Linked DNA regions of Astyanax mexicanus. The protein of the gene in region 2 interacts with the protein of the main gene of each other region in a pairwise test. Links are inferred from orthologs where the notes say so. Each region holds a gene or a part of one and is shown on either strand. Other genes may lie near its edges.

What was found.
Region 1: the proteins of lhx9 (region 2) and khk interact in binary tests that used the Homo sapiens proteins (3 or more experiments, as listed by UniProt). The two-hybrid records come from large-scale screens. The link is inferred for Astyanax mexicanus from reciprocal best matches to the Homo sapiens genes LHX9 and KHK.

The regions. Positions count from the first base shown.
Region 1 is NC_064421.1:545,962-558,615, reverse strand, and holds the start of khk (ketohexokinase), read right to left. Parts: upstream 5,211-12,654; 5' UTR 4,978-5,210; coding exon 4,883-4,977; intron 4,275-4,882; coding exon 4,158-4,274; intron 3,190-4,157; coding exon 3,055-3,189; intron 1,953-3,054; coding exon 1,818-1,952; intron 1-1,817. Other genes in the region: ankef1b (ankyrin repeat and EF-hand domain-containing protein 1), read left to right, coding at 10,407-10,415, 12,632-12,654. UniProt on the Homo sapiens protein: Catalyzes the phosphorylation of the ketose sugar fructose to fructose-1-phosphate.
Region 2 is NC_064423.1:21,337,573-21,350,360, reverse strand, and holds the start of lhx9 (LIM/homeobox protein Lhx9), read left to right. Parts: upstream 1-6,561; 5' UTR 6,562-6,670; intron 6,671-8,197; exon of another isoform or gene 8,198-9,145; 5' UTR 9,146-9,351; coding exon 9,352-9,525; intron 9,526-10,264; coding exon 10,265-10,467; intron 10,468-10,892; coding exon 10,893-11,248; intron 11,249-12,788. UniProt on the Homo sapiens protein: Involved in gonadal development.

The DNA.
Region 1 (12,654 bases), on a different chromosome or scaffold from region 2:
CACAGAGCTGGACTTCACCTCCCTCAACCAATCAGAGCGGAATAAACGCTGATATCAGACCCTGATTAATAATCAGACAGGAGAACTCCAGACCCGGAGCAAACGTCCAGCAAGAGCCGAGATCCATTAACTCCAAACCTTTACAATCCTCTCCTCTCCAAACATTTCCTAAAAAAAACTCCCATTTACTTTCTTATACTGATTTAATTTACTTCTAAAATTTCAAAAAGTTACTCATAAATTACTAAACTCATCCAAACTATGAAGAAAAACATATTCAATTATTTAATAAACAAAAAAGTGGATTAGTATCTCTCTTTTGTGTTTTTTTTATCCTCTGTGATTTTATTCTTGTCCAGAACGATCATGTAGGTGTTTTTCTCAGACGTCCTCTGAGAAAATTACAGGCTGAATTATCTACTGTTTTTCTCTGAACTCCGTGCTCCTCCGGTAATTTTAGTCCTGTCCGGACGCACCTCTCTGAGTTTCGTCTCCTCGCCTTTAATAAAATAGATATTTGTCCACTGCCGCGCACCGCAATTACACTTTGGACACGCCACGGTTTCCACGGAGATCCACGTTAAAAACACAATAGTGAGTGGAAATGGAGGAGCTACTGAACTCTGCGATGTCATGTGATCGAGAAAAAAGCCTAAAAACTCACTGATCCTCCTGTTTTTACAATTGCAGTCCAGATGCAGGAGTTTTATCACTAAAGAGTAGAGACATGAAATATTTTACACAGGGCTGTAGTTTTATATTTTAGATTCTTTAAAGTAGCTCCTCTTGTTTAGATGATGAGTTTTGAACATCTCTGCTGGATTTTCTCAGTCAGTTTTATGAGGTAGAGTCTCCTGGAATTCAGGCTTTCAGTTAACAGCTGTGCTGAACTCATCAAGAGTTAATTACTTGAATTTCTTGTCTCTTAATAAAGTGTTTGAGAGCATCAGTTAAAGTAAAGTAGTGAAGAGGTAGAGTTACAGGTATACAGTGAATAGTGAATATTTCAGTAATGTTCGAATCCAGATTATGAGAAGCAACAAATACTCAACTAAATATAATGATGAAACTGGCACTCATCAGGACCGCCCCAGGAAAGAAGAGCAAGAGTTTCCTCTGTTGTACAGGATGAGTTTATCAGAGTTTCCAGCCTCAGAAACCACAAGTTTACAAACAGCTCCTCAGATAAGAGTATCTAAATACTTCACTTAAAAACACTTTTAAGTTACTACATGATTCATTATGTGTTCCTTCATAATCTGATAAATCACTTTACTATTCATGTAATATGTGGTAAAAAATAAAAAACATTGAATGATAAGGTGTGTCCAAACTTTTGACTGGTGCTGTATATCCAATCAGAGTACAGCTCAGTCTTAAACAGTCTAAAAACTTACAAATTTAATGCAACAATTTAATAAATATCATGCATGTCTTATTTGATGAATTATAGAACTCTAATTGTGTTTGAAATTGTGAAAATTACAAAAACATGCAACTAATTACCATATTAATTCAGCATGCAGGGTAATCGTGGGTCAGGAAGCCATGATTAGTAAATGCGATCAACTATCGAACAGAATTAATCCGAATTATTACAGAACCACTGCAGAGACACGCTTAATAACACGGCCCAGATCAAAGCAGTTTAGCTCCTCCCACTTATCTTACAGCAGTTTAGCTCCGCCCATTCAGCCTACAGCAGTTTAGCTTCTCCCATTCATTAAGGTAATGAAGAAGCGTTTGAGGTCGCTGCAGTGGACTGGTTAGCTCTCATTGGTTCTGATGGAGGTCATGTGACCGGCGGCCTGTCTTACGTGTCGGAGAGAACGACAGTACGCGTCCCGGTGCTCGGACACACCACACAGCAAGCACACGGCGTCTCACCCCGCGACTGCCACGCCACGCCCGACACGTCCACCCCACGCCGACCAAAATCACCCACGATGAAGCTGAGAGAGAGAGAGACAGCACCCAGTGCTTAGACTGAGAGAGAGAGACAGCACCTAGTGCTTAGACTGAGAGAGAGAGACAGCACCCAGTGCTTAGACTGAGAGAGAGAGACAGAGAGACAGCACCCAGCGCTTAGACTGAGAGAGAGAGACCGAGAGAGACAGAGAGAGATAGAGAGATAGAGAGAGAGAGAGCACCCAGCGCTTAGGCTGAGAGAGAGAGACCGAGAGAGACAGAGAGAGATAGAGAGATAGAGAGAGAGAGAGCACCCAGCGCTTAGGCTGAGAGAGAGAGACAGAGAGAGAGAGACAGAGAGACAGCACCCAGAGCTTAGACTGAGAGAGAGAGACAGAGAGACAGCACCCAGCGCTTAGACTGAGAGAGAGAGACAGAGAGAGATAGAGAGATAGAGAGAGAGACAGCACCCAGCGCTTAGGCTGAGAGAGAGAGACAGCACCCAGTGCTTAGACTGAGAGAGAGAGACAGAGAGAGAGAGACAGATAGACAGCACCCAGCGCTTAGACTGAGAGAGAGAGAGACAGAGAGAGATAGAGAGAGAGAGAGAGAGAGAGAGAGAGAGAGAGCACCCAGTGCTTAGACTGAGAGAGAGGTAGAGAGAGAGAGACAGAGAGAGAGAGACGGAGAGAGAAACGGCGAGAGAAACAGAGAGAGAGAGAGAGAGAGAGACGGAGAGAGAGACAGAGAGAGAGAGACGGAGAGAGAGACAGAGAGAGAGACAGAGAGAGAGACGGAGAGAGAGAGAGAGAGAGAGAGAGAGACAGAGAGAGAGAGAGAGAGACTGCCGCCTGCTGACAGAACCTGTAAAACCATCAAAATCATGCACCGCTGGCGCGAGAGTTAGTGAGCACAGCGCCACATCACCACCTAGTGGTCAGACTGAGAAGTGCAGCACGCTAACAGTTACAAGTTCTGACTTTCTGATGCATCGCTGTACCGTGGGGATGAGAAACACACACACACATATACACACACACACACTCACACACACACATACACTCACACTCACACACACACATACACACACACACACACATACACTCACACACACACTCACACACACACATACACACACACACACACCTGTTCATGTGCAGGATGGTGCGGCTGCCTGTGGTCTGATTGCTGATTACTACAGACGCGGGGAAGGAGCAGTGCTCGTGCTCCAGCAGGAGAGAGACGTCAATCTTGTACTGTTTAAAATCATTCAGAACGAAACTGCAGGAATAAATTAGTGAGTAATTCAAACACACACACTCTCACACACACACTCTCTCACACACACACTCTCACACACACACACTCTCACACACACACTCTCACACACACACTCTCACACACACACTCTCTCACACACACACTCTCACACACACACACTCTCACACACACACTCTCGTACACACACACACACTCTCACACACACACTCTCGTACACACACACACTCTCACACACACACTCTCGTACACACATCTGCCCACATGTGTTGCTGCCTCTCATGGTAGGGCTTCTAAGTGGCATTTTTCAGCAGGATAATGCTCACTCACACACAGCAAGAGATTCCTTCATACCAGCATTTATGGAGCAGCTGAGACTCTGCAGCTTCAGCTTCAACCTACGAGTGTAGAGCTACAGGATCTACAGGCCCAGCTGTAGCAACATCTGTGGGTAAATGTGTGGGTGATATATTTGCGGTGCATATATCAATATATCCACACACATCTATTATGTATGCATGAATATATATATATATATTTTTTGCCAATTTAATGCAGCCCTAATATACAGCACTTCAGTTTCTGAATCAGTTTCTCTGATTTTACTATTTATAGGTTTATGTTTGAGTAAAATGAACATTGTTGTTTTATTCTATAAACTACAGACAACATTTCTCCCAAATTACAAATAAAAATATTCTCATTTAGAGCATTTATTTACAGAAAATGAGAAATGACTGAAATAACAAAAAAGATGCAGAGCTTTCAGACCTCAAATAATGCAAAGAAAACAAGTTCATATTCATAAAGTTTTAAGAGTTCATAAATAATCAATATTTGGTGGAATAATCCTGGTTTTTAATCACAGTTTTTTTCATGCATCTTGGCATCATGTTCTCCTCCACCAGTCTTACACACTGCTTTAGGATAACTTTATGCCTTTAAGGTGATTTATAGTAATTAATACTTACTCAGCTACAGGTCCTGGAGCTAAAGAACCCATAAAGGCACAGGGCGCCCCCAATAGGGAGAGGATGGTACAGGAGTTTGATGCATTTCCACCCCTCTGCCATCGCTGCGATACACACCTACCAACACACACACACACATTATACACACACACACACACACACATGCATGCATGCATTTACAGATAGACATTAGAAGTGTATAAATGCAGTAAACTGAATTAAACACAGGCTGCAGCTCAGTCTACTGCACCAGCTCTATTCTGCACTGTCTGACTTTAAAAATGCAAAAGAAGCACCATATCAGAGCATGTTCTCAGCGGAAGTCAATGTAGATTTTGTTATAGAGCATGAATCACTATATTATTGTAAAGTTATGGCAGTGAGAGGTCATTACAAACTACTTTTGTATGTTTTAAAATAATAATTATAATATTTATTATTATTAATTTTCATTTGCTCTTTTGTGCAATAACAGTCCAGAGTCCAGGTTGTTTAATGCACATAAAAAATCAGAAAAAAAATATATTATAAAAAAACCCACGAGAAATAGTTAATAACTGTAGGTCAGCGCATGCGCAGTGCCTTTAGAAAGCAGAAGAAGCACGTATCAATGGGTAGCATAACTCGAGTAAACACTCGGTTTATTATACAATAATCCGAATGATCTAAAAATGCAGTAAAAGTAAAAGCAATAAACCGGTTTTCAGTGTAAACCTGCAGCAGACCTGCTGTCCGTGTCCTCTTCCGGGTATTTATCCACCACATTAATGATGTCCAGACACACCAGGCCGATACACAGCACCTTCCCCTGCCGCTCCATCCCGCGGGCCGCGCTGCTGGACTCTGGACACGGGGGTAAAGGGGCGGAACAGCGCGCGGGTCCGCAGCTCCGGTCCGGATCGCCGGCCGAGCTTCACCGAGCCCACACGAACCGCCCCAAGCCTCTGTTTATGTAGTTCCACCAGCGGCCGCCAGAGGGGGCACTGTACCGCCGGTTCAGCCACACACACACACAAACACTATACACACACACACTCTATACACACACACACTATATACTACACACAAACTACACACACACACACACACACACTATACACACTATACACTACACACAAACTACACACACACACTACACACACACTATACACACACATACACTCACATACACACACACACACACTATACACACACATACACTCACATACACACACACACACACACACTATACACTCACATACACTCACATACACACACACACTATACACACTATACACTACACACAAACTACACACACACACACACACACAAACACTATACACACACACTCTATACACACACACACTATACACACTATACACTACACACAAACTACACACACACACACACACACTACACACACACTATACACTCTCACACACACACACACTATACACACACACACACACACTATACACACACACTATAAACACACAACTACACACACACACACACACACACACACACACACACACACACACACACATATATTAAAATACCTCCCTAAAACTTTTATTATAATACACTATAACAACACATTATTACCTTATTAATCAATAATCATTAAATACTTAGTCATAAAATACATATGAAGTATTGCATACTTCAACAAGTATTTAAAAAGGAAAAAGGTGGGAAAAATACCCCAAAACAGTGCAGACACTGAACTTCAGCCTCTCATTCAGCCTGTTCATTTGTTGTTAAGTGAATCATTCGCGATGATACAACAAATATAATATAATATAATATAATATAATACATTTTAATGGTACAAAAATCATAGGCAGCCAAGATGTCTCTGTATATGGAAACTGGAAATACTGGCTGTTCACTCACAACACTCACAACACTCACTTTAATAGACTGTTTACAGTTTTTCTGGATTGTTTACACACAATTTCTGGTACTTGAGACACAATGACCACAACATGTAACTTACGTACCAACCCCTTGAACCAGTTCTGCTAAACTACAAGCACAATTCCTGCTTAACACTCAAACTGCAGTTCTAAAACACATTTTCAAAACGCTGCATACACAATTTTCTGCATTTGGCACAATTTTCATGAATAAAATCTCTTGTTTTCACAAGGAACACACTGTTATTCAAAACTCTAAAGTTTAAAAGTCTACTTTGCACACTGACTGGTCACATGGGCAAACACCCTTCACACAGGTTATACAATCAGCAATCAAAACTTTAGCAGACCCAAACAGAAGACAGGATGCAGCATAGTTTTTTTTTTTTTTACTCTAACTTTATACAATAAATTCTTCTGTTGTTTTGTATGTAAATCACTGCATCTTTGTGTTGGTTGCATTGTACACTGTGTGCATTGTTTTTATTGGAAAAATAAAATATATTTTTACTGTGTATTTGTGTGTTCTGAGTATAAAAACAATGTTATTAAATATTTACAACGCACTTATGTATTTACTGTCTGTAGTAAGTGTAACACTGAACAAAAAATGACAAAAGTCATTATGATGAATGGAGAATTGTGTTTTACACTGGGCACATCAGTGTTCAGCTGCTTCTTTTGAGTGTCTGTTCATATGATGGTTTGTGTGTATCATCTAAACACAAAATAGCCTTTTTTGAAGAGATAACACTGTTTTGAATGTAAAGTTTCATTTTGCAGGATAATTGAAGGGTTTTGCCTACTGTGTGCTTGTTTGTTGGATTTGTGTTTAGAGTTCTGAGAATATGAGGCATGTTCTCAGAAAATGTGTGTAAACAATCCAGAAAAACTGTAATTGGCTATAATATTAGTGTTCATGATTTTTTACATTACATTACATTACATTTGGCAGACGCTTTTGTCCAAAGCGACTTCATAAGTTGGTGCTGATTTATTTTTATTGCTTTCATTTACTTTAAAGTAAATGTTTTAAGTGAATTATATAATGAATAAATGAAATACTTATTCAATATGATCAGACAAACTAGATTCTAAATGAAAACTGAATACTGAAATACTGGCTGACTGAAACACTGTACTGGACTTGGTGCTGATTTTATTTCATTTTATAATTAATTGTGTTTGTTTTTAATTAATTTATTTTTGTTTTAGTTGCTGTATTCTATTGTTTACATATAAAAAGCAGCAGCTGTTACCACGACTTAGAAGCTGCACTGTTATGCTAAGATAAGCTAAGCTAATCAAAGCAAAGCTAAGACAAGGTAAGCTAAGCTAGGCTAAGTTAAGATACATTAAGTTTAGCTCACCGAAGCTAATCTAAGCTAAGATACGGTAAAATAAGCTAAGCTAAACTAAGGTAAACTAAGCTAAGGTAAAATAAGCTAAGCTAAACTAAGGTAAGCTAAGCTAAGGTAAAATAAGCTAAACTAAGGTAAGCTAAGGTAAAATAAGATAAGATTAACTAAGGTAAGCTAAGATAAGGTAAAATAAGCTAAGCTAAACTGAGGTAAAATAAACTAAGCTTAACTAAAGTAAGCTAAGCTAAGGTAAAATAAACTAAGGTAAGCTAAGCTAAGGTAAATTAAACTAAGCTAAACTAAGGTAAGCTAAGCTAGTGTAAGCTAAGATACGTCAAGTTAAGATAAGGTAAGCTAAGGTAAAATAAGCTAAGCTAAACTAAGGTAAGCTAAGCTAGTGTAAGCTTAGATACGTCAAGTTAAGCTAACTGAAGCTAAGGTAAGATACGATACGCTAAAGAAAGCTAAGTTAAGCTAAGCTGTGTTAAAATAAATTAAGTTAAGCTAACCGAAGCTAAGGTAAAATAAGCTTGGTTAAAATCAGGTAAGATAAGACAAAAAACTAAGATAAAATAAGCTACATTAAAATAAGGTAAGCTAGGGTAAAATAATAAAAAAATATTTAAGTAAGCTAAGCTTGGTTAAACTAAGGTACGTTAGCGTATGCTAAGCTAAGATATGGTAAAATAAGCCACGATAAGAAATGCTAAGATAAGGAAAGGTAATATAGGGTGAGCTAGGCTATGCTATAAGTTAAGTGAAGCTAAGCTAAACTAAGCTAAGCTAAGATATGGTAAAATAAAAAAGGAATGCTAAGGTAATATAAGCTAAGTTAAAATAAGCTAGGGTAATATAAAGTAAGGTAAGCTTATATAAATAAAAGTAAGCTAAGAAAAGCTAATCTAGGGTAAGTTGAAATAAGTTAAGTGAAGCTAAGCTAAAGTAAGTTAAAGTAAGATCAGTACTAATATCAGATACACCTCACAGATCTCTGTGGTGATCGGGATCAGGTAGATTTATATTATTATTAGATTTTATTTGTATTGGTTAACATTTATTAAAATTTATGGTTAGCGCAATGCTAATCTGATAGTGCTAATCTTAAAACTCTCCAATTTCTCACAGAAAAAAAGATATTTGTATTTTTATTACATTTTTATCCTACACCAGTTTGGAGATTGTGGAGTGATTTGATAAAATGTAAGGAGGAGAATCTAAATTAGTTAACTCGATTTTTTGTTCATTTAGAGTAATAAAACAAAAGGACAAACATATTATATACATATACATGTGTAATATATTCTTATTAAATGTGGCACAATGCATTAGTTAGGTTAACTGACCTAATATGATTTGAAAACAAAACAATTTTAAATAATAACTTTAGTAGACTTTAAAAGCAGAAATGAAAATGCTTCTCTAGGAAGGTAACGACAAATAGCCAAACGTTGTAATTTTCTTACAATGTTTTTTGTTTGCTAGAATCAAAGTCTGGGGATTTCTTAGCAGGCTATTATCTTTGTTTGTTTTATACACAAACCAATATGATCTGACAACAAATCCATTTTAAATTATTTAAAACTTAGGTGCTATCTACTTTACGTTTCTCTGACCAGCAACAGTTAAAATGTGTTTCAAAGCATGCAAGTAATACAGTTTATTTTAACCCACTTGTTGAAAAAGACAAAAATGTAGAAGTAAGTTTTAGAACACACTTTAGTTTTTTTTTTTTTTTCAGTTTATTTTGCTTATTTAAGCTGTTCATTTCCAGTAAATGTAGCCTGAAAGGGCACAAAATCCAGCAAACTTAAATCATACACAAGTTAGCAGTAAACTAATACTAAACTAAAACTAAAACCAATAACTAGTAAACTTTTAAGAAAAAACAAAAACAACGAAACACTGACAAAATAGTAGTATAAGAAGTATAAAAAAGGGGATGAGGGTGCTTTTTAAAAAAGCAAGTAGCTGGTTGTAACAGCTTACAACTGGTCTGTTGTAATGAAAAATAAACTGAGCTTTGGAAATGGGTTTTAAAAAAATTGAATTTCCAAACTCTCTGCAGTAAAGCTGTAGTGCTGGAACAGATGGAGTTACTGCTGTTACTCTCTACTGCAGCAGCATTTACACACTTTCATCATCATAATAACTAGTAAAAAACTGTAGAGAACTCTGTAACTATTAAAAGTAGAAGTTCTTTCTTTTCTTTAGAGAAATTACAGATACAGAAGTCAGAGAGCGGTGAGTACTGTTTCCTCCACCTTCAAATAAAGACTCTTAGAAACTGGAGAAAAAAAACTGCTACAGGAAGACGTCTGGCTGACCCACATGGAAACAGCAGCTTTAGCCTTTAGCTCAGATTAACATGATTAAGAACTGAGTCTCAGTTTCAGCAGAGAAGAGAAAAAGAATTGAAGTAAGTCTGAGTCACTGATAAGATAAAGAGAAAATAAAAACATCACTGCAGCTACTGCACTACTGGGGTAAACAATTGTGGTATTCTAAATCTTATGACCACTATTTCTTAATATGTGAAGTACATTTCAGATACATTTCCAATAGATTGTTTAATTTTAATTTTCATACATTTTCAGTGCAATTGTAAATGCATTTCATATATATTATTTTTCCTTATGAGGTTACTCTACAGCATGATTAGTTTTTAATATTAACTCTATATAAATCTCAGTTTTTCAGTGTTTTAGTGTAAGTGTAAAGCTGATTTTGCCCGTGGTGGTGTTGTATAGCAGTGTAAAGTCGTGTGTAATGGGTGTTAATGTGTGCTAACAGGAAGAAAAGCATACAATAGAGGCTGAAAACAATAGGCGAGGGGTCAGACCGGCCCAGTTCCCCCAGTTCAGCTGGGTCTGTTGCTGGGAGATGGTGGGAAACACTCCAGTGATCTGCAGGAGGTTTGTGAGGATCTGCCAGCGTTCTGCTCTGATTCCTCTCTCAACTCTTTAATCAGCTGGATGATCTGAGTCTCAGAAATGCACAGGGTGAGTATTGTATCTGTGATTAACTCTAATCTGAAGTTCTGATTAGATAGATAGATAGATAGATAGATAGATAGATAGATAGATAGATAGATAGATAGATAGATAGATAGATAGATAGATACTTTATTTATCCCGAAGGAAATTTAGGATTAGTGTAGAATTCACTGTAGAGTTACCCCCTGCACTACAGGCCTGTTATACAGTCAATTAGTAACCTTAAAACACAGGAACTACTGCGAAACATTCATTAAACAGTAAAAAATACCAAGTATTTACTATTATAAAAGTAGTATCTACTGTTAGTAGTAGTTATTAAGTATTTACAATGCATTATTTATTATCTACTATGAATTATTATTTTAAAAGATATCCCTAATAGTTTCTACTTACTGCGAGTTATACAGATAGATAGATAGATAGATAGATAGATAGATAGATAGATAGATAGATAGATAGATAGATAGATAGATAGATAGATAGATAGATAGATAGATAGATAGATAGATAGATACTTTATTTATCCCGAAGGAAATTTAGGATAGTATTCACAGTATACACAGTATTCACTAAAAATTATTCAACTATGTCCACTATGGGTTATTCAGTATTGACTATAAATTAATCAGTACCTACTACAAATTATGCAGCTTGTATTATAAAATAATCTGTAGGCACTATGAATCATTTTTCATTCTCTTTTTAGCTTTCCATGTAAATGATTTAATAGTAGAATATCTACTATTATTTGTTCGTCAACTACTGTGAATTATCCTGTGAATAGTAACTATTATGAAGTATTTATTATCTACTATTATTTATTCAGGGTCTACAGCAAATTTGCTTAATTTGTTAAGTGGACACTAAAAATGTTGATTTAACTCAATTTTATTTATCGTGTTCTATAATTTATTATTATTTTTTCAGAATCCATTATGAATTATTCAGCAGCTACATTTAATTATTCATTTACTGATTTAAATTTTAACTATTTTGAATCAGTTATTATGCACTTTCAATAATTTATTATTCAGCGTTAACTGTGCATTATGCTTTATGGATTTTTCGGAATTCACTATTTGTTTTAGTTAGTACTATATCATATTCTGTAACCCAGATAAACCCTTATGCCTTAAAAAAGTTAAGTAATGGGCAATGAAAACATAAGTTAGCATAACTTAAAATATCAAGTAAATATACCTTAAAAAGGAAAATTTATTTAACTTTTTAATTTTCTTATACAAATTTATTTACCCAACAATTCTACCTACCAAGTAAATAAATATGTTGATTTCTACTTACTTTTCTTTTTAATTCCATTTTACTTATTGTGTATGTTGAAATATTCAAGAATAAACAGACCAACAATAACATAATTTTAGTTTTATTTCATTTTTAAAGTATTTACTTGAAATACAACAAATAATGATCATGAATAAATCAGAAACAATGCCTGTTTGGTCAGTGTAACATTTAACAGTTTAATTTTCTGACCATATCAATCTAAATTTAAAAATAGAAAAGTGGATATAAATCTTAATTTAATATATTTTTTTCCATTCAGTATTGTAAATAAGAAATGTGTTTTTGTTTAATCCAAATTTTCCATTATCTAGTTTTTCATTTTAACCTTTCGCTTACAAAAAAATTAAACGAAATTAAAGGTTGAATCTTCTCTTGATTTTCAGAGTTGTCCATTTTTGTGTTTTGTTACACAAATCAGAAATTAAAGAAAATATATGTATTTTTTTCATTTTCCTGAAATTACGATTGGGATGAAAGAGATGGAAAAATGCATGGAAACGTATTAAAAAATGAAATATATATTTTTACAGTTTTTACATCCAATATTCTATTTTTGTATTTAGCCTAAAACGGTCAGAAAATAATAAAGTAATTAACAATCATTACACAGACCCTATTACCAGAATTATATAAAATTATATAATTCAGCATTCATTATAGATTATTCAGTATCTACTTAGTTGTTCATTAACCAAACTATTTAGTTACCAAATTGATCAATTATTCAGTATCTACTATAAATTTAATTCCCTGTTTGTTGTTCTAATAGTTCAGTATCTATTATAAATGATTTAGAATAATCAGTGCTGTGTTGTGTAGTAATCCAGATGTTGTGATATTTACAGAGGGTGTAAATATTGTATTATATTGTGTAATATTTGATGTCTGTTGTCTGTGGTGGCGTGTGGGTACAGCCGGCGGTTGCTGAGGGCCGGTT
Region 2 (12,788 bases):
AGCCAAAGAACTAAGTCCCTTACCTGTCCACATGGAAATTCTAAACAGTTGCCACTCTCAGTCTTGATTAGTACCATCCACTGCACTGTCCAATGTGGGTGGTAATGCCTTATAAAAAAATATTCCTGGTACACACGTGACTTTTGAGAATTGAGGAATGTTCTTTGCCAAAAATCTGAATAATTCAGACAGAAATATTTAAGAAAAGTTAGTAAGATAAGTCTATGCTGTCTGTAGCTAACTGAAAGTGTTTGTTGTTGTAAGTATGGGGAGTCAGGATGCTAAAACTCGTGTCAGAGAGACTGGAGACTGAAACTAGATAAGTTCTGCTTGGCCATTTGGATGCTGGCGCCAGTGGGTGTGCAGGAGCTGCTCTGTTCTAGAAATCCTCTCTGAGCTTGGCAGTGATCCACAATGCATGTGGTAGCATTTTCCTCACCTCTTCTCTTAAAGCTCAAACTAAAGATTATCAGCATTTTTAACCATGTTCTGTAATTATAGGTGTCAGATATAGTTGTGCTGTGTTTGTTTGGGTTTTCAGACCATGTGTTATAGGTTATCAGCCAGGAGCAAGAAGTCAAATGTTGGAAAGTGACAGTATTTAAATAGAAATCCATAAAAATTTAAATGACCTATTGACTCTACTGTTGGCTGTTACTGTATTGTTTATGTGAGTGCGCAAAACATGGAAAAGCAATTTGTAAATATAAACCTTTTGCTCTTTAGTAATTATAATTCATATGTGTAAACTAAGCTACAAAATCAGCCCACGTTATTTATTTTCTGAATCAGTTTCTCTGATTTCGCTATTTATAGATTTATGATTGAGTAAAAAGAACATTGTTGTTTTATTCTATAAACTACGGACAGCATTTCTCCCAAATTCAAAATAAGAATATTGTCATTAAGAGCATTTATTTGCAGAAAATGAGAAATGGCTGAAATAACAAAAAAAGAATGCAGAGATTTCAGACCTCAAATAATGCAAAGAAAACAAGTTCGTATTCATAAAGTTTTAAGAGTTCAGAAATCAATATTTGGTGGAACGAACCTGGTTTTATTTACAAATTTCATGCATCTTGGCATGTTCTCCTCCACCAGTCTTACACACTGCTTTTGCATAACTTTAAGCCACTCCTGGTGCAAAAATTCAAGCAGTTCAGCTTGGTTTGATGGCTTGTAATCATCCATTTTCCTCTTGATTATATTCCAGAGGTTTATAATTTGGTAAAATCCAAAAAAACTCTAAAACAGTTTAATGTTTTATGGAAAAGCCTGTAACTTTTACCGAGATCTCAGGCCTTAATTAGCTTGTTAAAACTGTGGCTTGTGCTTCTCTCAATTTTCAGTTGTGTGACTCTAAAATACCATAAAGAAGATTTAGCAGGCTCTGGAATTCTACTCTGGAATGCTGGTGCACTGTTCTACTGTGCAGCAATATCTGAACAAATCTGAGGGTCAGTATCAATAGAATTGCCTTTTGTATTTGCAGTATAGTTGTTTTAAGGAGAAATCCAGTGTGAAATGGACTTGGGGTGTAGTGAAACATGATAATGAGTTCAAACTTGTGTTGAATGCCACACCTCCATTCACCCCCAGCATTCCAAAATACAGAGATTTTAGCTGATGCTCCCAACAGGCTTACAATGCTAGTGATTGGGGCATAGCATTGCCCATGCTAAAAAAAATCACCATTTTTACACAATTAAAAGCTCAAAGTAGCTCCACACTTATTGGAAGAATTCCAAGGGAACTGATACTTTAAGTGGTGAACAGAGGTGGGCTATTCATACTCATTACTACTACCTACACACAAAGTCCATTTCACACCAGATTTTTCTTAAAATTGTATACATTTTACATTTAAAGACTGAAACATTTATTGTTACACAGTGTTTTGTGTAACAATCAATGTTTCAATGTTTAAACTTTGAACTGTACCTTTTATTCAGTTACAGTGTCTATTGGGGTGGTATTTTTGTCTTGTTTGCCATGCTGCCTCATTAATTTGAATCATTATTTTAAGAGTTTAAGAAACCTAATTACATATATTTGTTTAATGCTATTTAATTTTTTTTTATTATGATTATTTATAACTACTTTCACGAAAATATCAACCTATTTAAACATGAGCAAGATTTCCCTCTCATCCCCATCATCCTGGGATAATTGGCCCTGGGATAATAAGAAAGTAACCATTAACGCATGTGACATCACAACCTTAACGCTGTATAATTTTATTTAAGAGACGGAAGACACTTGTTGCATCTTAACCAATTATTTTTTCTTAATAGTTTTTGTATTCTCTCCCTACTAAGCTGAGGTAAGGTTTACACTGTATACCCTGCCATGGTAAAATATATAGGTAATAAAACATATTAAAAAAAAAAAACTGATAAAATTGTCCATCCTGTCATAGTCCACTGACATTGTTGTGCAGCATCCCATGACAGGGTGGACATATGCATGACAGGAAATGAAAAGGTGGAAACATAATGTTATTTAAGCTGGGAAAAATGATTTCTCTGTTGTCTAAAATCGAGTGCATTCCTTAAATTATAATAATTTGTAATAAATTACAATGAATTAATTGAATAATTTAAAATATAATTAATTTCATGGAACAGTATTAGAACAAAACTTTTTCTGCACATTCATCACCAAAATACAGCATCTAAACAAGCTGAATACATAAGATAATAAGAAATAAGTTTAATAATAAGATTAAAATGAAATATTTTGAAGGCAATGACCAGAAGTGTGTTTGGAGAAAAAAGGCTGCAGAATTTATTTAAAAAAAAACACTATCAATTAAATACCAGCAAATACTGGAAGGAGACATCACACCATCTGCATTAACCAGCAGGATACTGATCATAAACACAACTCAAAACCCACAATGGACTACCGCTAAAAGTGTGAGCTGAACGTTTTGCCATGGCCCTCACAGTCTCCCAACCCAAACGCCATTGAATATCTGTGGATAGACTACAAAAGAAGCAGTACTGCGAGACAACCCAAGAGTCTAGAAGTCTTTCACAAGGACGAATGGCCAGAACTTCACTTAACAATTGACAATATAATTATATGGAATTTGAGAGAAATGTTGTTCGAAGTTTATAGAATAAAACAACAATGTTCATTTTACTCAAACATATACCTATAAATAGCTAAACTGATTCAGAAACTGTAGTGGTCTCTTATTTTTTTCCAGAGCTATATATGCATACTGGCCTGGAACCTACACTCTGACCCTACACTCTACACTCCCTTGAAGCTACCTTCTCCTAGGTATGCATTTGTATTCTATGTATTGGTTATTTGCCAAGCTTCAGTGTTATAGTTTTTAAGAACGAGTTACTTGTATTATTCTGTGTTGCTGAGGGAGAATGTGTGTAGACATGGTGCTGGTGTTTGCTTGTGTGCTGCCACAGGATTACAGGATACTGTCAGTGTTACCTATACTTAGTAAAGTACATTAAGGAAATGTTAAGCTCTCTTGTTAATAACTTACTGCATAATTTATTTTAATTTCATTAAAAGTTGTCAAAATGAAATTTGTTAAATGCACAGTATTTGAAATAGCAAGTTAAGTAAATTAAAATGTGCTAGTTTAACCATTTTAAAGATCTATTCGTTTTTTGCTTATCTTTTTAACGTTTACTGTTCATTTTTAAAATCACATCATTGATTTGTAGGAGTGTTTTTTTTTTTTTTTTTACCATGATAAGAACACTGATAGCTTTTGGGTATACATTGTAGAGTAACCAATCTGATGATTCAAGGATCAGTCAGCTCTGAATCACAACGGGGAGAAAAAAATGTTGGGTAGGCAGCAGTTGGACTGTAGGGACTCGAGCTAGTCATACAGAGCCATCCTCCATCTGTCAACACGCGGGGAATAGTGATTGTAGCATCAGCAGAGCAGGGCTCAGCATCAAGAAAAGCAGGCAGAGGGATGGAGGAAGGGAGGAAGGGAAAAAGTTTGTGCGTGTGTGTGTGTGTGTGTGTGTGTGTTGTGTGTGGGGGGGATGGGATGGGAGGTGGTGGTGGTGGTGTAAATTCTCATTAGGCTCTCCAGAATGAACGTCCCCTATCAGAATCAAAGCTCTAAATGCCGGTGCACAGCATCTGCTACGTAAATTCGAGGCTTCCAAAAGTGTAGCATGACAACACAAGACGTTTCTGGGTCCACCGTTTAAACGGATCTGTGTGTGTAAATACTGCGGTGGCTAGGCCACTGCCTGCTCTCACAAGAGCACTGTAAAGGAAGCCCATAAGTAACACAGGAGAATCAGGGGTCTTAAATATTATATGTCAATTAAGAAAAAATGGCTTGTGATGTCTGTGAGGTTTATGTTTTTTTTGTGTGTATCTTTGCTTCATTCAATCACGGCTTCTGCAACAGGAAAGAGTTTTGGTATTACAGAAAATCCAAATTTATAAGTTTATAAGTCATATTTAACATTTGCCGCTTGTTGGTCTATATTCTATGCAGTCTAGTTGGAACTGAAGTATTGGGACATATTCTCTTTCTTTGTTTCTTCCAAAGTCACGGCTATTAAAAATAATCTATCCTGACTTTTTAGGAGTAAAGATATGGAAGACTTTCTGTTACCTTCTGGAACATTGCTGTAAAAATTTGACTGCACTCAGTGCAACTTTCTAAAACATGTCACAAGTACTGGATGGAGCACCAATATTCCAAAGAACACAGTTCTACTGTTCTACTGCTCAACAAATCAGTGCTGGAGTCTTTATACCCCTCTAGCCTAGGCTTGGCATTTGGCACAGGGTCATTGTGTTCATGCTTGTATGTGTATCAGCATGTGTATCATGCCAAAACCTTATATCTCCAATTTGCTGTTTATCATTTTCTGACATTGTATGAATCTTGCAGATTTAAATACTACATTGTGTCTGTTTATCAGAAATACTCTGAAATGCCCTGAAATTAAAACCTTTTGCAGTAACTTTCAATTAAAGAATGCCATATTTGTATACTTCCCTATCCAACAACAGGTTAATGTGTGTCTGGCTCTCTGTCTACAAATTTGGACATGCAGTAACATACATATGTGTGTATATATATAAAGATTTCTTAAGAGTATCCACCTAAAAATGATAACTCAGCTGTAGACTTCCAAATAAATTAAAGGCATTTTGTTAATGTAGCTACTATTAGCTATTAATGTATGTACTTAGCGCTTAAGGTTTTTACTTAGTTAAAATTACCCTTTAATTAAAAGATGCAAAAATCACAATCTCGCTCTCATATATATATATATATATATATATATATATATATATATATATATATATATATATATATATATATATATATATATATATAATTTTACCAAATTGAAAACCTCTGGAATATAATCAAGAGGAAGATGGATGATTACAAGCCATCAAACCAAGCTGAACTGCTTGAATTTTTGCACCAGGAGTGGCATAAAATTATCCAAAAGCAGTGTGTAAGACTGGTGGAGGAGAATGTGCCAAGATGCATGAAAACTGTGCTTAAAAACCAGGGTTATTCCACCAAATATTGATTTCTGAACTTTTAAAACTTATGATATGAATATGAACTTCTTTTCTTTGCATTATTTGAGGTCTGAAAGCTCTGCATCTTTTTTTTGGTTATTTTAGCCATTTCTCATTTGCTGCAAATAAATGCTCTTAATGAAAATATTTTTTGGGAGAAATGTTGTCCGTAGTTTATAGGATAAAAACACAATGTTTATTTTACTCGAACACATACCTATAAATTGTGAAATCAGAGAAACTGGTTTAGATTTTTTTCCAGAACTGTATACAACTTATTTCTTTATTTAATTTTTAATTCTGATGTATCTTGTAATCGTTGTGTGGGCCGGTTAAATACATTACTTTTCAAAAGACTTCGGTTGGGCATTTAAGTTCAAGATCCGTTTTTCTTGTGTTTCCTATAAACGTGGGTAAATAAAAAAATGACTGTGACTCTGAAAGAACGGCATTCATAAGCATCCTGTTCGGCTATTTAGCTTGTTCTACTCAACCCTCTGAAACGCCATGCTTTCCAACCTAAGGTAACGTCTATTATAACAGTGAATGCGTTTTTTTCTACACACATCTGTTCGATGTATTTTACAATTCAACGTCGTATTAACCATGGTGCATTTACAGTCTAATCGTACAGTGATGGTCAAAGCAAGCCTGTACTTTACGCGGGTAACTTTTTTTTTTTAATTGATCAGCAAACGTTTATTTAGACGTTAATTGGTAAGAATCGACTTGTGTCAATACATGATGGCAAGTAAAATGATGGGGCCTATTCCTCTTACTTTCTCAATCTCTCTCTCTGTCTCTCTATCTCACACACACACACACGCAACACACTAAAGCCCAGACTTAGATTTAAAATATTTTCCAGTTTTGTCAAGCCCCGGACGAGGCCTTGCGCTCCAGATCCTCCAGATAAATAATGAAACGCATCACACGCATGTAAATTCGCCTTTCCTAGCGCGGCTCTGTAGTAATTGACACCCACATGGAGGAGAAGAAACAAGGAACAGCCCCCATCTGCTGGTAGGATCCCTCTCGCATCCCTTTCCCTTCCATAGGCTGCAGTGTGGCCATCCTCCTCTCCAGCGCGGCTCAGCGCAGGACGGCACCTCAGCGCACGGTAAAGATCTCCAGCTCTTGCTCTGTTTTAGCTTTTCTCGCCTACAGCTAAATATATATTTATATATTATAGAGATGGTAGTGCCTGACATGCTGGCCATTTCCGAAGAGCCTATAGTATTTATATGAGAGGCTAATAAAAAAAGAGAATTATTATCACTGTAGCCTCGCTGGCATTTTATTTGACATATTTCCATTTATTGTAGACAGGTAATATCAGCGCAGTTCAGATTCAGTTTTAGATTCAGATTCAGGTCAGTTTGTTGGCTGCTGTTGTTGTTGTGTGAGATCGTTGTGAAATTGTCATTAAAACGGTTTTGAAGGAAAAGAGGTTTAAGATTTGATTACAGATTTAGGCCTGATTTGCTGAACGCAGATCTGATAAACAATCAATCAATAATTCGCAATCAATCATTTTAAATAATTGCAATCAGCATTTTTATGCAGCATTATCGTTTTAATTTTTAAACGTCAATTTAATTAAAACATTCTGAAATTCATAATGAAGATAAATTGTATATTTATTATACAGTCACGAAACTGCGTTTTGTGTTTTAATATTTATATTGTGAGAAAAACGGAATTATTCTGTTTCTTTTTCTATTTGTTTTATTTTATTATATGTGATGCAGAAGAAGTAGATACATTTTTATTTTCGTTCTTGTAATTAAATGCAGAAATATAGATCTTAAATATAAAACATACTAAACTAACAAGTAAAGGATTTACTATTTGGAACTATCTGTCGCGTACAAATACCAAAAAAATATAAATTTGCTCTGACAGATGAGAGGATGTTAGTGAGATTATTATCAGATCCATCAGAAAATATATATTTTATAACGGTGCACGTGAGCATTTTTGTTAATCCTCAGGATTTCAGTTAATCTCTCTGATCGAGTTAAATTTGGCGATGGTTGTTTGAATGTGAATCTAATTTTCGGTGTCTTTTTCCGTCACGCCTCACACGATCTGATCAAACTGACAGAGCGAAAAGGGACAAAAGGAGCGGGACATTTACCTCCCATAACACTACTTATGCCTCTAATGGGATATTGTAGTAGTTATTTAATTACAAAATATATATAATAGTAATTTTGTAGTATTGTAAAATAATAACTGCAGGACGGAATGAAAAGACAAGCAGATTTGAATAAATAAGATGAATCATGAATAAGAAGAATACAAATGATTAAAGCTCACTTGCAGGCCAATTACACACACACATTGTATATATTGTACACATGTACACACACACACACATATATATATATATATATATATATATATATATATATATATATATATATATATATATATATATATATATATATATATATATATATGAACAAAACCGCTACTTCCAATTCTAATTTTTTTTAATACAATTTATTACAATTACCTCTCCGAAACAGTGGAATACAAAATAAAAAAATGATCATCTCTGTAATCGACTACTCTACTTCTTTATCATATATTTAAAAAAATAATAATTATAAGATCATCTATAGCTACATCTCTCTCTCTCTCTCTCTCTCTCTCTCTCTCTCTCTCTCTCTCACACACATACCCAAATGATCATATCTAATGAGATCCCACTATACACCAATTGTAAGCGAACCACTTTTACTCCATTATCACCGAAATAAAATCATAAGCTGTTTTTTTATATTATTTCGCACAATTCCTAAACTAAGCCAACACACATCTATCGATCTTCCAGTCCAAGCTATCCCAAAAAGACCAGCAATTGCTTCACAACATCTACCTCAATAATCTTAAATCGTTCACTACCATCACCACCAACACCAAGTTCAAAAAATGTAACAACAATAACCCTAATAATAATAACCCTGTAAAAATGCTGTTCATTCTGAGTGCTTACCACCCCAGTCCACTCACTGACTGAACCCTAAAACCAGAACTTACTGGTGCCTCTCTCTCTACTTCACCAAACGCTCCCTCCCGCCACGAGAAACAAAGCCACAAACCATGAGGACGAAGGAAAGTGCTTAGCTAAAGAGGCTGGAGGTAAGAGTAAACAGCCAGAAACACTGAGATAGCTTTTCCTCAGCGCCCATCAGCAGGGTTTTGAGGAGAGAGTGACAGCTCTTTGTTGGTAAGGAGAAGTCGTTGGAGATAGAGTGAGAGAGAGAGAGATACAGAAAGAGAGAGAGAGAGTGAGGGAGAGGGAGAACTCCTCCTCCCAACTAGCCCAGGCTGGGCAGGCGTGTGCTCTCTCTTCACAAATAGGACACGGGCTCTGCAACTCAGCACAGTCCCAAACTCCACTTTCCAGCACTCGGATCCCTGACAGCAAACCGGGACTATCTCAATCTCACCTTAAAAACACACAACTAGAACTCTTCTATCAGCGCGGCCGAACCACACACACCTTGCCTGCTGTCTGCATTTGCCTTACCACCAGGATTATACTCTGTTTTCTTTCTTTCCTTCTTTTTTCTGTTTTTTAAAGGTCTCAACGGAGTGCAGGGTGCTCCACCGAATGTTCCTGTTTTGCATCGTCTCTTTTGGAGAGGCGGCGCGTTAAAGGTGCCTGCAGTCTTTTTTCCCCCAATTTTTTATACCTTTAGAAATTTTTAGGAGCCTTTTCACGCAATTTTGCATTTTTCGAGCGAGCTGCAGACCCTTTTCGGATGGTCTGAGGCTGCGGAGCGCCGTATGGAAGTGGTGGGGTGCAAGGCAAGAGAAAGCAGTTGCACATTGCGTCCAGCAGCCATGCTTTTCCACGGCATCTCCGGGGAGCACATCCAAGGGATCATGGAGGAGATGGAGAGGAGATCGAAGTCGGAGTCGCGGCTGGCCAAAACGGTCCAGATGAACGGCAGGGAGACGGTGAGATCTTTAACTTCAATATTTGCACAAAAAAAAGGAGTAAAAAAAATGTGGTGTTGAGTCTGAGGCTACTGGTGAGGGAAATCGCTGTTTGCTCTGGTGGGCTAGGCTAGGTCACTGGTTAAAATGAAAAGAATAAAGAATTTGGCCATTTGCAAAAAAACGTAGCTAATAAAATAAAAAAAAAATCAAAGTCCCATCATCAAAAATCGATCGAATGCAGTGAAAAAACAAACAAACTACTAAACAAGCTATTTGTCAAAATATTAGTTGGGCTTTACTGGAGTGTTGGTAATAGTTTAATTACTTGTTTAAATAATTCAGCTACACTTATATAACAACAACAACAACAACAATATTATTATTATTTTTTTAAATGATTATTAATAACAACAACTATTAACGTTAACAATAAAACCAATAATGGGCCTTTTTAAATTGCTACCGGAAATAAGCAAGTGAGGCCTAATCGGACAATCGCTAAAATAACACCCCTAAATCTATTGTTTAACTTTGCCCTTTTCTGGCAAAGTTGTTATTTTGCAAGGTTAGAAAGCTAAACTAATCTGTATTAACAATCACAGCTCATGTGTGTTTTTATTATTATATATTTTTGTGCTTTATTTATTTTACTTCAGGTAAGAGTTGCTTTAAACAGGCTAGCGTGTTTTTCCTTGCGTTAATTTCAATGCTTGACACTCGAGTGAATGTAAGAGGTGTTTGGGTGCTCTCTCCGCAGAGCATGCCCTCCGTGAGCCCGGAGAAACCCGCCCTGTGCGCCGGCTGTGGGTCCAAGATCTCAGACAGGTACTACTTACTTGCGGTGGACAAGCAATGGCACCTCCGCTGCCTCAAGTGCTGTGAATGTAAACTGGCCTTGGAGTCGGAGCTGACCTGCTTCGCCAAGGATGGCAGCATTTACTGCAAAGAGGATTACTACAGGTAAGGAAGCCCGGAAAAAAAGAGGCATTTCTATCTTTCTATCCATCAAAAACACATACAGTACAAAACTTAAAAATTACAGCACTGTCACCAAGAGTGAAACAACTACAAAACTCACTAAGACAACATTTAAAGGGTTTAGCATGACATGCACTGTATACAGGAATATTCCACAAATTAGCGTGGCCACATTTGGACCACCCACATTCATCTAATGAATGAATTTTCATTCCTTGATAACTGCAATTTTGCCTAATTAAAATACCGAACTATGGGCTCACACGGCCTACAGGCCACAGAGCTTCTTGAGAAGATAAATCACTGTCCTTCAAACCTGCAAATGCTTATTAAAACAGATAAACTGGTAAACTGGTGGTAGTGGGGGAAATCGGCCTGTTTGTAAATGGCGTTCTTGACTGTTCCAGAAGGTTCTCCGTGCAGAGGTGTGCCCGCTGCCACCTGGGCATCTCGGCTTCGGAAATGGTGATGCGCGCCCGGGACTCCGTGTACCATCTGAGCTGCTTTACATGCACGTCGTGCAACAAGACGCTGACGACGGGCGACCACTTCGGCATGCGGGAGAACCTGGTTTACTGCCGGGCACACTTCGAGAGCCTGGTGCAGGGGGAGTACCACGCGCCGCTCAACTACGCCGAGCTCGCGGCCAAGGGCGGTGGGCTCGCTCTGCCCTACTTCAACGGCGCGAGCGCAGTGCAGAAGGGCAGGCCACGGAAACGCAAGAGTCCCGCCATGGGCATCGATATCAACACCTACAACTCAGGTAAGGCGCTTTGTTTAGCTACTGCAAGGAGAGGAGGTAAAGGTGGAAAATCGGCAAGCTGAATTTTACTAAACAAGATATACAAAACTAATATTTAACACAAACTGAAGACTTACAATAGTAAAAATGAAGTTAACTCAAAAATTACAATCAACATAATTTAAAACATTATTTTAAAGTTAAATATTCAATGCAGCATTAAATGATATTAGTAAAACAAAAATCAAACATATGGAATATAAATTAAATTAAAAGTGGAAAAAGAATAAATCAATATTAAACATAATATTTAGTTAAAAATGAAAATCCACAAAAGAAGACAATGTCAAATTAAATGTCTCAATCAAAAATAATACTAAATGTATATTATAATGTTTTAAATGAAAACTTACCAAAGTAACTTTTTAAATGCAGTTAAAATTTAACATGCTTTTAAATAAAGAAATAACGATGATAGTTAAAACCACCACCACAATTTAATTTGTAGGACTGAAAAATAATATATATAAAACACACACCGATTTAAAATCAATAAATTAAAAACAAAAGCCTTTCAATCTAATTAAAAATTAAAGGTTACAAAAAGTGACAGTTTCTTTCTCGGGCATTCACATTCCCAGGTCAACGAATCTACATTTGTCCTGAACTGAAATTTTATTTGAGCCATATATTTTTTATTGCTAAAAACAAAATATAACAAAACAAAACAAACGAACTAAAGATATAGATATAGACTTAAATATATTGTGTATATATATATATATATATATATATATATATATATATATATATATATATATATATATATATATATTTTAACTTATATAGACAAGTTTAGCAATGACGGAGAAATTCCTTTGTAAGAAACATCTAAAAATCCTGTTTTTATGTCGTATTGAGGTTGTTCGGAGCTTCGGAGGAGAGGTGCGAATTCTCTTATTATGTTTTAATGATTAATTAACGGTCCTGATTATTAGAGGTTTCGCTCATTAGATAACAATATAATTAGCAAATACCAAAATAATGAAAGCGGCAGGAACGGAGTTATCATTCTGAACGTTTAGATTAAAATACAATAATCTCCTGCATAACGCCGCTTTAATCCGAACTCTCCCTCTGTTCAGCTTCAGTGTGTCACACCGCGACCCCGCTGCGCCTCTTTTGTCATCGCCGTTACAGTGCATCTCTGAGCGGCTAAAAAAAAGTCTGGCTTGGTGTGCCAAGATTCTGCCGTTTCTTCATGAATGGAGAGGAATAAGGGCAATCTGTGCGTTAATTGTTCTGTATTAATTGAAGGCGACGTCGGAATCCGCGTGGATGGAGCTGCAGAGGGGTCACTCTGCTGCTGGGCAGACTAAAGACAAAAAGAGCCTAGAAAAAGAGTCCAGGGTCTCATGGACCCCTCGCTTGTGAAACAATTTATTTTTTTGTGAATTGAACTGCTTTGCGAATTTTATTATCAGTATGAATGACTGGACGTGCTATGTTCCAATGCTAAGACACATTTCAGTTTCTGAAATTCAGCAAACATCTACAAACA